Lonchura striata: one gene and its partner. The protein of the gene in region 1 purifies or fractionates together with the protein of each later gene. This does not show direct contact. Links are inferred from orthologs where the notes say so. Each region holds a gene or a part of one and is shown in the gene's direction. Other genes may lie near its edges.

What was found. Proteins that work in one complex are often made in the same cells at the same time.
Region 2: the proteins of SUV39H1 (region 1) and EHMT1 purify together in Homo sapiens (co-immunoprecipitation; 3 studies listed by BioGRID and IntAct, with this or other methods). This does not show direct contact. The link is inferred for Lonchura striata from reciprocal best matches to the Homo sapiens genes SUV39H1 and EHMT1.

Annotation. Positions count from the first base shown.
Region 1 is NC_134638.1:1,546,656-1,554,567, reverse strand, and holds the start of SUV39H1 (histone-lysine N-methyltransferase SUV39H1), read left to right. Parts: upstream 1-4,906; coding exon 4,907-5,116; intron 5,117-5,180; coding exon 5,181-5,298; intron 5,299-5,809; coding exon 5,810-5,955; intron 5,956-7,719; coding exon 7,720-7,912. Other genes in the region: actin nucleation-promoting factor WAS, read left to right, coding at 1-98, 1,077-1,119, 2,212-2,381, 3,297-3,399, 4,456-4,558, 4,655-4,707. UniProt on the Homo sapiens protein: Histone methyltransferase that specifically trimethylates 'Lys-9' of histone H3 using monomethylated H3 'Lys-9' as substrate. Also weakly methylates histone H1 (in vitro).
Region 2 is NC_134624.1:4,059,722-4,066,785, reverse strand, and holds the start of EHMT1 (histone-lysine N-methyltransferase EHMT1), read left to right. Parts: upstream 1-4,049; 5' UTR 4,050-4,131; coding exon 4,132-4,194; intron 4,195-6,760; exon of another isoform or gene 6,761-7,064. UniProt on the Homo sapiens protein: Histone methyltransferase that specifically mono- and dimethylates 'Lys-9' of histone H3 (H3K9me1 and H3K9me2, respectively) in euchromatin.

The DNA of each region.
Region 1 (7,912 bases):
CCCCCGCCCGCCCCCGGGGCCCCCCCCGGCCAGCGGAAAAAGGGGAGGGGGCGCAAGAAAATCTCCAAGGCCGATATCGGGGTCCCCTCCGGATTCAAGTGGGTCTGGGGGGGGATTTGGGGTCTGGGGGGATTTGGGGGATGGGATTTGGGGGATGGGATTTGGGGGGATGGGATTTGGGGTCTGGGGGGGATTTGGGGTCTGGGGGGATTTGGGGGATGGGATTTGGGGTCTGGGGGGATTTGGGGGATGGGATTTGGGGTCTGGGATTTGGGGGGATGGGATTTGGGGGATGGGGGATTTGGGGGATGGGATTTTGGGTCTGGGGGGGATTTGGGGGATGGGATTTGGGGGATGGGATTTGGGGTCTGGGGGGGATTTGGGGGATGGGGGGATTTGGGGGATGGGGGGATTTGGGGTTTGGGGGGATTTGGGGTCTGGGGGGATTTGGGGGATGTTGGGGGGGTTTTGGGTATGGGGGGATTTGGGAGATGGGGGGATTTTGGGGGGGATTTGGGTCTGGGGGGGATTTAGGGTGGGGAGGATTTTGGGAATGTGGGGGTCGATTTGGGGGGTGTGGGGGTCGGTTTGGGGGGTGTGGGGGTCGGTTTGGGGAATGTGGGGGTCGGTTTGGGGGATGGGGGGATTTGGGGGATGGGGGGGGAATTTGGGGTCTGGGGGGGATTTGGGGAATGTTGGGGGGATTTAGGTCTGGGGGGGGATTTAGGGTGGGGAGGATTTGGGAGATGTGGGGGTCGGTTTGGGGGATGTGGGGGTCGGTTTGGGGGATGTGGGGGTCGGTTTGGGGGGTGTGGGGGTCGGTTTGGGGGATGTGGGGGTCGGTTTGGGGGATGTGGGGGTCGGTTTGGGGGGTGTGGGGGTCGGTTTGGGGGATGTGGGGGTCGGTTTGGGGGGTGTGGGGGTCGATTTGGGGGATGTGGGGGTCGGTTTGGGGGGTGTGGGGGTCGGTTTGGGGCCATCTCTTGGGAGGTTTTGGGGGGTCTCCAGGGGGATTTTGGGGTCTGGGGGGTTCCGGGGGGTCGCGGGGGTCTCACCGCTCTCCCCTCCCCCTCCAGGCACGTCGGTCACATCGGGTGGGACCCCACTGGTGGCTTCGATGTGGGTGACACCTCCCCCAAGTGGGTGACAGTGACCCCGGGGTGACCCCACGGGGGGTGACAGATGTCCCTGCCCAGGTGGCATCCCTGGGCCTGGCCCGGGGTCCCCATGGGGTGACCCTGGGGTGACAGCGACCCTGTGAGGGGTGACAGTGACCCGAGGGGTGACAGCGATCCCGTGCAGGGTGACAGTGACCCTGAGGGGTGACAGCGATCCCGTGTGGGGTGACAGTGACCTGAGGGGTGACAGTAACCCAAGGGGTGACAGTGACCCTGGGGGTGACAGTGACCCGAGGGGTGACAGTGACCCTGTGTGGGGTGACACTGACCCTGTGGGGTGACACTGACCCTGGTGACAGTGACCCTGAGGGGTGACAGGGACCCGAGGGGTGACAGCGATCCCGTGCAGGGTGACAGTGACCCGAGGGGTGACACTGACCCTGGTGACAGTGACCCGAGGGGTGACACTGACCCTGTGTGGGGTGACACTCACCCTGTGTGGGGTGACACTGACCCTGTGGGGTGACAGTGACCCTGAGGGGTGACAACGATCCCGTGCAGGGTGACAGTGACCCGAGGGATGACACTGACCCTGTGGGGTGTGACACTGACCCCGCGGGGTGACACTGACCCCGCGGGGTGTGACACTGACCCCGCGGGGTGACACTGACCCTGTGTAGGGTGACAGTGACCCAAGGGGTGTGACACTGACCCCGTGGGGTGTGACAGTGACCCCGCGGGGTGTGACACTGACCCCGCGGGGTGTGACACTGACCCCGCGGGGTGTGACTCTGACCCCGCGGGGTGTCCCTGTCCCCTCACCGTGTCCCTGTCCCCAGCTGGCCGCCCTGGACCCCGCCCTGCGGTCCCTCTTGTTCCATGGGGTGACACTGACCCTGTGGGGTGACACTGACCCCGTGGGGTGACACTGACCCCGTGGGGTGACACTGACCCCGTGGGGTGACACTGACCCTGTGTGGGCTGTCAGTGACCCTGAGGGGTGAGAGTGACCCGAGGGGTGACACTGACCCTGTGTAGGGTGACACTGACCCCGCGGGGTGTCCCTGTCCCCTCACCGTGTCCCTGTCCCCAGCTGGCCGCCATGGACCCCGCCCTGCGGTCCCTCTTCGCCCAGGCCGGGGTCAGCGAGCGCCACTTGGCCGACGCCGAGACCTCGCGCCTGATCCACGACTTCATCGAGCGCCGGGGCGGGCTGCAGGCCGTGCGCGAGGAGATGCGGCGCCAGGGTGGGCACGGGGCGCCTGGGGCACCTGGGCACACCTGGGCACACCTGGGCACACCTGGGAGGGACCTGGGCACACCTGGGAGGGACCTGGGGACAGCTGGGAGCACCTGGGCACAGCTGGGCACACCTGGGAGGGACCTGGGCACACCTGGGCACACCTGGGAGGGACCTGGGGACAGCTGGGAGCACCTGGGCACACCTGGGAGGGACCTGGGCACATCTGGGCACACCTGGGCACACCTGGGAGGGACCTGGGCACATCTGGGCACACCTGGGCACACCTGGGAGGGACCTGGGGACAGCTGGGAGAAACCTAGAGACACCTGGGGGGCACCTGGGCACACCTGGGAGGGACCTGGGGGCTCCTGGGGACAGCTGGGAGCACCTGGGCACACCTGGGAGCACCTGGGAGGGACCTGGGCACACCTGGGGGTTCCTGGGCACACCTGGGGGCACCTGGGAGGGACCTGGGCACACCTGGGGGTTCCTGGGCACACCTGGGGGCACCTGGGAGGGACCTGGGAAACCTAGAGACACCTGGGCACACCTGGGGGTACCTGGGACACACCTGGGGGTGGGACTAGGCACACCTGGGCACACCTGGGAGGGACCTGGGCACACCTGGGTACAACTGGGGGGCACCTGGGGATACCTGGGGGTACCTGGGACACACCTGGGGGTACCTGGGCACACCTGGGGGTACCTGGGCACACCTGGGCACACCTGGGGGTACCTGGGCACACCTGGGCACAACTGGGGGGCACCTGGGGATACCTGGGCACACCTGGGGATACCTGGGCACACCTGGGCACACCTGGGGGTACCTGGGACACACCTGGGGGTGGGGCCGGGCACACCTGGGAGGGACCTGGGCACACCTGGGCACACCTGGGGGCACCCGGCGGGTCTCTGTGCCCCCCCGTGCCCCCTCTGACCCCTCCCCCTCCTCTCTCTCCTCCCCCAGGACCGCCCCCTCCCCCCCCGGGCCGCGGGAGCCCCGCCCCTCCCCCCGCCCCTCCCCCCCCTCCTCCCGCTCCCGCTCGGCGGTCCCGGCCCCTCCCCCACCCCGCGCCGGCCCCGCCCCTCCCCCCGCCCCTCCCCCTCCGCGAGGCCCCGCCCCTCCCCCGCGAGGCCCCGCCCCCCCGGGCGCCGCCGCCCCGCCCCCTCCCCCCCTCCGCCGCCCCCTCCCCCCTCCGGGGTCCCCCCCGCGACCCCCCCCGGCCGGGGGGCGCTGCTGGACCAGATCCGCCAGGGGGTGACGCTCAACAAGGTCGGGGACCCCAAAAACGGGGAGGGGGAGACCGAAAATGGGGAGGGGGCACCAAAAATGGGGAGGGGGCACCAAAACTGGGGAGGGGGACACCGAAAATGGGGAGGGGGCACCAAAAATGGGGAGGGGGACACCGAAAATGGGGAGGGGGAGACTGAAAATGGGGGGGGGAGACCGAAAATGGGGAGGGGGCACCAAAAACGGGGAGGGGGAGACCGAAAATGGGGAGGGGGCACCAAAAATGGGGAGGGGGCACCAAAAAATGGGGAGGGGGAGACCGAAATTGGGGAGGGGGCACCAAAAATGGGGAGGGGGACACCGAAAATGGGGAGGGGGCACCAAAAATGGGGAGGGGGCACCAAAAAATGGGGAGGGGGAGACCGAAAATGGGGAGGGGGCACCAAAAATGGGGAGGGGGCACCAAAAATGGGGAGGGGGAGACCGAAAATGGGGAGGGGGAGCTCAAAAATGGGGATGGAGACCCCAAAAATGGAAGGGGGACACCAAAAAATAGGGAGGGGGACACCAAAAATTGGGATGGGGACCCCAAAAACGGGTGGGGTGGAGCCAAAAATGGGAGTGGGACCCCAAGAATGGGAGGAGACCCCAAAAATTGGGGGGGGGTGTCCAAGGGGGGGGTCCTGTGACCTTTGGGGGTCTCCATGGGATGGGGGAGGGGCTGTTCCATGCCCCTTTTTTTTGGGTGGGTGGTCTCGTGATTTCTTGGGGGGCTCCCCTGACCTTTTGACGTGGCCGTGGGGGAGGGGCTGGTGGGGGAGGACCCTGCCTGACCCCTCCCCATTTCCCACCCCCCCCCCCAGACCCCTGAGACCCCCGAGGTGGGCGCGGGTCCCGGCGCGGGGGGGCTCGTGGGGGCCCTGATGGACGTGATGCAGAAGCGAAGCCGCGTCATCCATTCCTCGGGTGAGACCCCTCCCCAAATTAAAACAAAACAACCCCAAAACCCCCAAAATCCCCCCAAAAAAACCCCCCGACCCCTCTCCATTGTCGCCCCCCCAGATGAAGGCACAGCCAGCGAGGAGGAGGAGGATGATGATGAATGGGACGAGTGAGACCCCCCCTGCCCCTCCCCCTCCCTCGAGACGCCCCCAGACCCAAATTGGGGCCCCCCCCACCCCTCCCCCACCCCGCCTGCGCCCCTCCCCCAGCTCGGGGGGGGAGGGGCCCCGGCTTTTCCTGCCCCCCCTCCCCTTTTTTCCCCCCCTCGTGCCCCCCCCCCCCCCCCCAAATAAACGCAGGAGTCACGTGACCATGCGCCTCGTTAATGAATCGCTCATTAATTACCGTTTAATGAGCCCCGGCAGCGAGGAGAGGGAGCGGGAATCCAGCGGCTCGGGGAGGGGCCCCGAGGGGATCCCGGCGCTTCCAGCGGCTCCGAGCCGGGAAAACCGCGCGGAAAATGGGGGAAAAACGGCGGAATTCGGGATCGGCGCCGTGCGCGGGCGCTGCTGGGAGCGATATGTAAATGAGGCAGCGCCGCGGCCAATGGAAACCGGTCCCTTCGCACCAGTATGTAAACGAACAGTCGCGGGTGCTGCTGGGAGCGCTATGCAAATCAATCGACGCGGCGGCCAATGGCGGGATCAGATATTATGCAAATAAAGCGGCGCGGTGGCCAATAGAGAAGGGGCGCGACGGTGTCGGTATGGAAATTAATCACCGCATCAGCCAATGGAAGGCGCGCGGGCTGCTGTCACTATGCAAATCAGCAGCCGGGCCAGCCAATGGGCGCTGGGCGCGGGCAGAGGAAGCCCCGCCCCCCGCGCTGCCCGCCGGGCGGAAGCGGCGCCAGAAAGAAAAAAAAAAAAAAAAAAAAAAGGCGGAAAACGACAAAAAAAAAAGCGGCGGCGGCTGAAAATGGCGGAAAATTTAAAAGGTGGCGAGAGCGGGGCGGGCCCGGGGGGTCTCCGGGGCTGCGGGAGGGGGAGAACCGGGCCGGGGGCGCTCTGAGGGGCCGGCGGCGCTGCCCGCGCGCGGCCGTTGGCGCCTGAGGGAAGCGGGGGGAAGTGGCGGGAACGGGCGGGAGAGGCTCGGCTCGGCTCGGCTCGGCTCGGCTCGGCTCGGCTCGGCTCGGCTCGGCTCGGCTGGCTCGGCTCGGCTCGGCTCGATGGTGCCGCCCGTCCCCTGACGCTGTCGCCCCGGTGCCGCCCGCAGAGTGCTCCGTGTGCTGCCTGTCGCCCTGGCCGCGGCTGCAGGAGCTGTGCCGGCTGCAGCGCGTGCGGTGCCGCGCCCTGGGGGTCACCCGCCGCAACCTCGCCGAGTTCGAGGTGGAGACGATCTGCGACTACCGGCGAGTGCGGGTGAGGGGCGCGGGACCCCCGGACGGGACCCCCGAGCTGGGAACCGACACGGGACCCCCGAGCTGGGAACCGACCCGGGACCCCCGAACCGGGACCCCGAACGGGGAACCGACCCGGGACCCCCGAACCGGGACCCCGAACGGGGAACCGACCCGGGAGCCCCGGACGGGACCCCCGAGCTGGGAACCGACCCGGGACCCCCGGACGGGACCCCCGAACCGGGACCCCGAGCTGGGAACCGACCCGGGATCCCTGGACGGGACCCCCGAGCTGGGAACCGACCCGGGACCCCCGGACGGGACCCCCGAACCGGGACCCCGAGCGGGGAACCGACCCGGGACCCCGAGCGGGGAACCAACCCGGGACCCCCGGACGGGACCCCCGAACCGGGACCTCCGGACGGGGAACCGACCCGGGAGCCCCGAACCGGGACCCCCAAATCGGGATCCCTACAGACACTGGGACCCCCAAACTGGGAGCTGACCCGGGACCCCCGAACCAGCACCCCCAAACTGGGAGCTGACCCGGGACCCCCGAACCAGCACCCCCAAACTGGGAGCTGACCCGGGACCCCCGAACCGGCACCCCAAACTGGGAGCTGACCCGGGACCCCCGAACCGGGACCCCCAAACTGGGAGCTGACCCGGGACCCCCAAATCAGCACCCCAAACTGGGAGCTGACCCGGGACCCCCGAACCGGGACCCCCACAGACACTGGGAACAGAGCGGGGACCCCTACACGGGACCCCCAAACCGGGATTCCACCCCACAAAGACCAGGAATCCAGCCAGGCCCCCAAACTGGGACCCCCAAACCCAGAATTGGCCCAGGACCCCCACACTGGGCACTGCCAGACCCCCTGGGGGCAAACGGGGACCCCCTGGTGACCCCAAAACCCCCCTGGCCTCGTGAGCCCCCACAGGGACGTCGGGGTCTCCTTTAAGGTCCCCAGGCTTCGACACCCCAAGAATCTCTGACCCAGTTCGGCCCCACAGGGTCTCTGGACATTGGGGTCACTCCAGGAACCCCCAGACCCAAAAAAGCTCCACAGGGTCCCTGGGGTCACTCCAGGAACCCCCAGACCCAAAAAAGCCCCACAGGGTCCCTGGGCATTGGGGTCACTCCAGGAACCCCCAGACCCAAAAAAGCCCCACAGGGTCCCTGGGCATTGGGGTCACTCCAAGAACCCCCAGACCCAAAAAAGCTCCACAGGGTCCCTGGGGTCACTCCAGGAACCCCCAGCCCCAAAAAAGCCCCACAGGGTCCCTGGACATTGGGGTCACTCCAGGAACCCCCAGCCCCAAAAAAGCCCCACAGGGTCTCTGGGCATTGGGGTCACTCCAGGAACCCCCAGACCCAAAAAAGCCCCAAAGGGTCCCTGGGGTCACTCCAGGAACCCCCAGCCCAAAAGAGCCCCACAGGGTCCCTGGGCATTGGTGTCACTCCAAGAAGCCCCAGCCCCAAAAAAGCCCCACAGGGTCTCTGGACATTGGGGTCACTCCAGGACCCCCTGAACCCTCTTAGACCCCCAAAGGACCCCCACAGTGGGGTCACCCCAGGAACCCCCAGACCTCGTGAGACCCTCAGAGTCCTCCAGATTCCCGCGTCCCTCCCGACCTCATGAGACCCCCCAGCGTCTCCAGACCTTGCGGTCACTCCAGGAACCCCCCAGACCTTTTGAGTCCCCACACCTGGGGGTCCCCACTGCCCACCCCCTACCCCAAACCCCCCTTTAACCCCGCCTTTATCCCCCCACCCACGCAGAACGAGGATTTCTACCTGGTCAAGTGGCGTGGTTACCCCTCGTCGGCCAACACCTGGGAGCCGCGCCGCAACCTGCGCTGCCGCGGGCTGCTGCAGCAGCTGCACGCCGACCTGGCCCGGGCGCCGGGCGGGCCGGTGCGGCCGGGCCGCCGCGGTCTGCCGGCGCGCGCCATGTTGTACTTGGAGAAGAAGA
Region 2 (7,064 bases), on another chromosome or scaffold:
CTTCTGTTCCTTGCAGAAATTTGATAAAGTCAGCAGGATGGCTGGGAGAGCCGTCAACAGGCGCTGTTCCACAGGAGCTCATGATCTGGGGAGAGACACAAAGGCTTCGTGGAGCACTGATTCTCCTCCAGTGAAGAGCTTGCTTATTTTCATGTCAGTGCCTCAATCCTTAAAAAAAATAGGTGTGAGGTCAAAGAACAGGGCCACACTGAACACGTGAGGCGTGTTGGCAGGATCTCCAGCGCTTGTTGCAGCAGGAGGAGGATGGAATGTGCACAGCCATTTTCCCAGCCTGCTGCTGGCAGGGCGCTGCAGGATGGCTTTGCACTGACAAATGGGGCCACTGTCCCCAAATAAACCAATAAAACATTGGTCTGTGGAACAGTGAGTGTGCTGGAAGCAAGAGCCTGCTTGCTGTGCTGGGGGTAGAGAATGCTAGATTTAGGACCCTTCTCCAGCAAGGCTCTGTTTGTACTGTAGGAGCTCTTGATATGCCATAGCTGAATGAAGGGGAGAAATGGTGGATTTAGAACTCCAAAATAGAAAGAGCTGTGGTTACTGTAAGTTAAAGCTGAAGGAATTTATAATTGGGAACTGTTAGGAATACAGTATGTTCTAAATTACAGCTGTCTGGCCAATATGCTGCTAAATAAAGATCTAGGATTGCCCTGTAAATGAAATATTCAACGCATATTCTTATCAAAACATAGCACCATCTCCCAGAGAGCTCACATCTCAATTGCTGTCCAAGAGGATCTCTATTATGTTCCTTTTTTTTTTTCCTTTTTAGCGTGTATGATTTACTCAGTGCAGTATCCCAGGGAACATTTCTGGTTTCCTATTAAGTAAAAACAGTTTTCAACTCTACTGGGGAAAAGAGGAGAGGAAGGGAAATGGCTTGGAAGCTTTAGGGATATAAAACCAGGTTTTAAAAGATGGGGAAAGCTATGATTCCAAAAGATGCATTAATGACTGCCTGTTGACTGCCTGTTCTTTCAAAGCTGTTACCTGAGCCTGGAGGTGGACATTGGAGGGTGCTGAGGATACCCAGTATGTCCTGAGCTATTCTGATTAAGAAATGTTGTATATTATGGTTGAAGAGCAGAAGGAATGTTTGAATAGCTTGTGGTGAAGCTGGAGAATGGTTTATAGCAGTGCAGAAACAATCAGGATTCCAGCAGAAATGCTCATCTCATACCCAAAGTCCCTTCAGCTTTTGGGATTGTTTCTGAGGAGGCTGAAAGGGAGCATCAGATTTGATCAAGGGGAGAGTCTGCAAGAAGAGAAGCCTGATGGAAGAAAGGAAATAAGGAAAACCCTCTGTATTTTGCAGAGCTAAATATTGTTCTTCCTATAAAAAGAAAAACCTCCCTTTGCCTCCCACTTAGGCTTCCCTGCAACGGAGCTGTGAAAATGCTGGACTTACTGGTGTCATTAAGCAAGAGCCCTGAGGAACCTGGTGTCCTTTGTGAAGGGAGGTGTTTGTGCTGCTCCCTTCCTCCTGAAAATGTGGGATTTCTGATAGGGGTGTTTGAGCCTTCAGTCAGAGGAGGGAGGCTGGAGAGCTGTGGGGTGAAAATACCCTGTAATCTGTGGGCCCTGGCAGGAATGTTTGGAAAGGGGGGTGTCACTGTGCTGGGAAGGCTGCTGGAGGGCACTTGGGCTAAATAAAGGGCACAGCATCTCGGGGCACAGGCCTGTTCTCATCCTCCATCATCAGCAAAACCTTTTCCTCAGCCAGCCTGGAAAGAGGACTGTGACTGCTGGTGTGCAGCACCTGACCCCTGCCAAGGGGGGACAGGGGGGTCCCGGGCAAGAGACACCTCTCCCAGTGCCAATGGCTGTGCCCTGCAAGCTTCTTGCTGCTTTTGGATGACAGAAATGTGAGGTTTCACTGAGTGACACCCAGGCATCCCCCGTGGCAGAGATGCTGCTACGGCACCGATCGATCGCTTTACTCAAGTTGGTTGTTGAGGCATCTGCAGTACCCTGGTGAGCTCTGCTTTCTCCTTTTTGTTTCTAAACAGTGTTTAGTGCTTTCAAGGATGGCCATGAGATGTGAAAAGTGTCTCTGGTAGCATCTGCTCTCAGTGTATATTTAACCTCAGCAGTGAACACATGTCTGGTGTGGAGATGCAGTGGGGAGGCTGTGGCTGTGCCGCCGTTCTCGGGCGTTATTTTATCTGAGAAAGGGAATGTTGACTGTGGTGGATCATTGACACTGCCTTTGTTAATATCTTAGTTTCTATTTCTGGGCTTTTAATGAAAGCGTGGTAATTTCATGCTGCAAGGAAGGGCAGCAATCAACTGCATCAACTGTTTTAAAGCCATCTTTGGTTTGAAGTACAGTAATCTTTTGATGCGGTGGATAAGGCAACTCCTGTCTACATAGCTGGGGTTTGTTGCTTTTGTTTGAGGATTTTTGAATTTGTCTTTAAATGAGTTACCTCTGCACCTCTCAGTGACTGAGAGAAAGGCCAGGAAAACCTCATTTTGTGTATATTAAAACTTAAGACTCACGTTGGATGAAAACCTGGTGGGTGAAAGTGATCCTTTCTTTATCCTGTCACCTCAAATACTCCTTGCCTATGAATTTCAATCATCTCAATTTAGCCTTGTGTGTTTTAACTGTTTAGTAGTGAAACTTCTCCAGAGTGTGGAGAGGAAACAACATCCTCATAGCCAAGGGAGATCTGTAACAGCTCTTTGCTGCTTTAATTATTGCAGCTCTGCAAACGTGCCTGGCCACAGTGGTGAAAGAGCTGCTGGGACTGGAGGAAACGTGGCTTGTGGATGTTTCCAGCCTGGCAGAGCCGGCCATGGCTGTTGTGCTGTGCTGAGGCCTGGACTCGCCTGGTGCTGGGGCAGGACAAACTTCATCCCCAGGCTCTCCCAAACCTCCCTAGGGATTTGGATGGCTTGTTCCTCCCTGCAGTGGAGTCTGCTCCCTGCCCTCCCAGCTCACTGTCACACATTGCACTCCACTCATCCTCACTGTAGTTTCTACTCTTAAAGAGAACTCTCTCTTTAGGAGGACGCTCTCCAGTGCTCTCCTCTTTTGGAAAGCTGTTTTTCCTTTGGCCAAGAGCACGCGGGTGGTGCCACGGGGCCATGTCAGAGTTTCCTCTTCTTTCTGGCCTCTTCCTCGAGGTTGCTGGCTGCCCTCCCCCTGCTCGGGGGGAGGTTCTCCAGCCTGACACCCGGCTCCAGCAGCCTCCTGCTCCTGCCTCCAATAAATGCCAGTCTTCCTTGAATCCCTTCCAGCCGAGCTCTGCTTACAGATGTTCCTGCGAGCTGCTCTGGCAGTTTTACTGGGAGCCTGAGCAGATATGAAGGTTGCCAAGAGTTTATGCTTAATTGTGAAGTGGAACAGAGACAAACTACTTTTATTTTGAAGCTAAAATTTCTTCTGTTATCTTGCTGGCTGGGGCCAGCAGTATTGTAGGGTTTGACATAGACTGAGCTTAGAGCTCCTGTGCCTTGTAGTGAACTATCCCTTCATTAGGGTGGGGATGAGGATGGATCCATGAGGATGTCCCTTCATTCTGTTCCCCCCCTGCTTTTCCATGACTGTGTTTGTGATACCCTTTCAAAGTCAGTTGTACCAGGTCAGGTTATTAATCCCCAAAGTGAAAATGATCTCCCCTTCAGATCAGCAGTTCAGATCTCGAAGAGACGCTGTCTTGGGCACTGCTCCCTGCATCAGTTTAACCCATGTGCCTTCATCCCAGCTCTCAGAGGTTGGGCACTTCGTTAAGCACTACAAAATCAGCCCAGGGACATCCCCAAGCCACTCACATCCCTCCCTGTCCTTCCTGCCTCTCCTTTTCCCACGGGCAAGTGCTACTCTTGAAGGCCACGAGACAGCACTCTGGTTTAAAAAGCTTTCTCTTTTTTTCAGGCGAGTGATCAGTTTTGAGGCCTGGCGCCCTGTCAGAAAGTTGACAGATGATCTGCATTACCGGTGCGTCCCGGGGATGCCCGGGATAATCGCGCTCCAATGGACGCCCTGGAGCCGGCAGGTTCTCTGTGAAATGGCTGCAGTGGAGGGAGCAGTGAAATGGGCTCTTCTGGGCATGCTCACTCTGTAGAGGGAGCTTTATCACATGAGCAGAAACTGAATCACTGCTCATGAGGATCTGGAATATGCAACTCTTGGAGTCTTCACCAGAAGAAGACAACAGCTGCCCGCAGGTACCGCAGGGTCCGTCCACCTCCCGTGCCTGGCGAGGCCCTGGCAGGGCAGGGCTGCGTCCTGCCCGGGAAGGAGAAGCCTTGGAGAGGAGAGGAGGAGCAGAGGCCGGGGAAGCATGGCCGGGGCTGTTTGTTCATTTGTTTGGATATTCCTGCGCGCGGCTGCCCGGTGCGGGGTGGGCATGGCCCATCCTGCTGGCATGGCCCATCTGCAGGCATGGCCCATCCTGCAGGCATGGCCCATCCTGCAGGCATGGCCCATCCTGCTGGGATGGCCCATCCTGCTGGCATGGCCCATCCTGCTGGGATGGCTCTTCCATGGGCTCCGAGGGGCCTCGGCGCCCGGCAGCGCCGCCGGCAAACCTCGGGCTTTGTTTCCTCGTGCCTTTCGTTTGTCTCCTGGGGTGGGGAAGCTCGCTTGGGGTTGGTTTGGTTTTGGGTTTTTGGTTCTTTTTTTTTTTTTTTTGGTGTTTTTAGGATTTGTTTGTGCTTTTAAAGTGTGAAGTTTCTGGAAAATTCTCCAAGGAGCTGCTTGTAGCTGTTAGAAGAAAAAGGCACAAAGCCTGGGGTGCCCGAGCTGCTTGAAGACTGAATGTCTAAAGGGGAGGAGAGGGCCTGTGGCCACATGGCACCTCCTCACTGGGTCTCTTTTGACAGCCTCTGCCTATGGCTTGCTGGGGTGGAGGCCAGAGCCAACAGCATTTTACCAGGAAGAAGCAATCCTTTTTATTTTGGGGTCACTTCCTCCCTTCTCTCTTCTTTTTTTTTAATTTTTTTTTCATAATAGCAATCCAAGGAAACATCTGATGCAAAGGAAACATCCGTGGTTGACTTCATGGCAGGAACATGCCTGCAACATATTTTAAAACTCAGCCCCCCGGTTCTGCCCTTGGGATTTTTTTTTTCCTCTGTGATTTGTGTTACATGCAAGAACTGTTGGCTGCCACAGACCTTGGTGAGATTTGGGATGGACACAGAAGGTCCCAGGCCCCTGGAAGGCACGGACAGCCCTGCAGAACACTGGCCTGAGCTTGCTGTGCTCCAGGGAGACCCTCGAATCTGCAATGTTGACACAATATTGAACTTTCAATCAAGGAGCAAGATGTGAAGATGGCATTTAAAATATCAGGGAGCTTACATGGGACAATCTGTGATACCTAATCTAAATATCTGTTGTTTCTCCACTGGATGATAAATGTGCTCATTGTTCATCATTCAGAAGAAAAGGAAAAGGCATCAGAAGTCAGGAGGAGAGAGCTGAGATTTCTCTTTAACAGTGAAGAGCTGAGGCCTTGACCTGCTGCCTGAGCAGCTTCACTCAGGGAGAAAATGAGCTTTGGGCTTGATGAAGGCTGAGGAGACAACCAAAAACCCTCTGAGGTGTGGGAGGTGTGCTCCTGTGTGGTGGTGACACCAGCGTGGCTTTGGCTGGAAGTGCCCAACGCTCTGTCCCTGCCGGCTGGGGCCCTTGGGAAGCGTCTGCAGAGACGCAGAAAAGCCTGACCTACTTTGGAGGGAAGAGAGCCGCCGAGGTCTGGGCTTGGCACTGCTTCTCAGCAAGGGTTAAGAGCCCAAAGTGGGGCCTTTGGGTCTTGGTTTTGTTCTGTTTCATGTATTTAACTGCCTGTGCGGTGCCAGCACGAGCTCTTGCCCTCGTCCCAGGACATGTTTGGGTAGGACTAGGCTCTGTGGCACATATGAGGCATATTCCTGCAGCTCAGCCTCTGTGAGACCAGCCCTGGGCAGGGGGCAGAGGCAGCTCCATGACCTGGCTCCTGGGAGCTCTCCCATGTGATGCCATCTCCTGAGGAAAGAGAGTTGTGTGCACCTCATGCAATGGCAGTGAGTTGTTTTATTCAGGTAAACAAGGAGTTTTAAGGAGCTTTGCTCTCCTGGCCAGCTGGTTTGGGGGAGGGCTGACTTGGTTCCTGCTGCTCCTCTTTGTTTTCCTTTTGCTGCTTTTCCCTGAAGTTTTTCCTTCTCGCCTTCCTGCTCCTGAAGCTGAGAGTGGTCGAGGAATGGCCGCAGCGGGAGAGTGACCGTGTGTTGGGGTCAGCCCAAAAGCTCAGGGCACTGATGGCGTGTGCTCCCTGCTTGCAAGCCTTGGAGGACCATATGTTCCTGCAGTGACATGGAATGTCAGTGATTTGGAAACAAATCCCTGAATTAATAATCCTCAACTCCCATTTTCAGCCAGTTATTTTTTCTGACTCCTCCAAACACCAGCTCCCTCTTTGCAGACCCTTATGGCCTCTCATGTTTCCAGTGGGATTTGTCCCTCTTGTGCCCCTGTGAGCTCCTTGGTCTCTTGGGTGGAGGATATGTGTCTGGCTTTGCTGTAGGGTGGTGTTGGTCCTGGAGGGGGGCAGAGGAGGAGGGCAGCCTGCCAGGATTTACAGTAGTCAGGAAAGCAGCAGGAGCGAAGCTCTCAAACTGTACAAGCTAATTGGAAAGCATCCATTAGAAAAAAGAAAAGGGAAATATAAAAGGGGAGAAAATGTTGAGCAAGCTTTTAAAAAACATCCTGGACTCCAACACAACAACTTGCATCCTCCAAAACAGGTGATTTAAATATGTTTTTCCTTCAGTCCCCATCAGGAGGGGGAAGGAGGTGAGAAGGGCCGAGGCAGTGGGGGTTAAGAAGGTCTGACGTGCAAGTGTCCTCCCTGCAACACTGCCATACTGTGCCTGAGCAGCACAGTGGCTCTTGCAAAGGAAGCTTTTCACAACTTGTCCTTGTTCCAAGGATGAGGAAACCTCCAGCTCTTCTGGCATTTTCTCTCTGTCATAAGTCAGAGCTGCTTTCACCTGTGAAGTATGATCAGCACAGACAGGGAGAGGGCTGGAATGGAGCGGGGCTCTGAGCAACC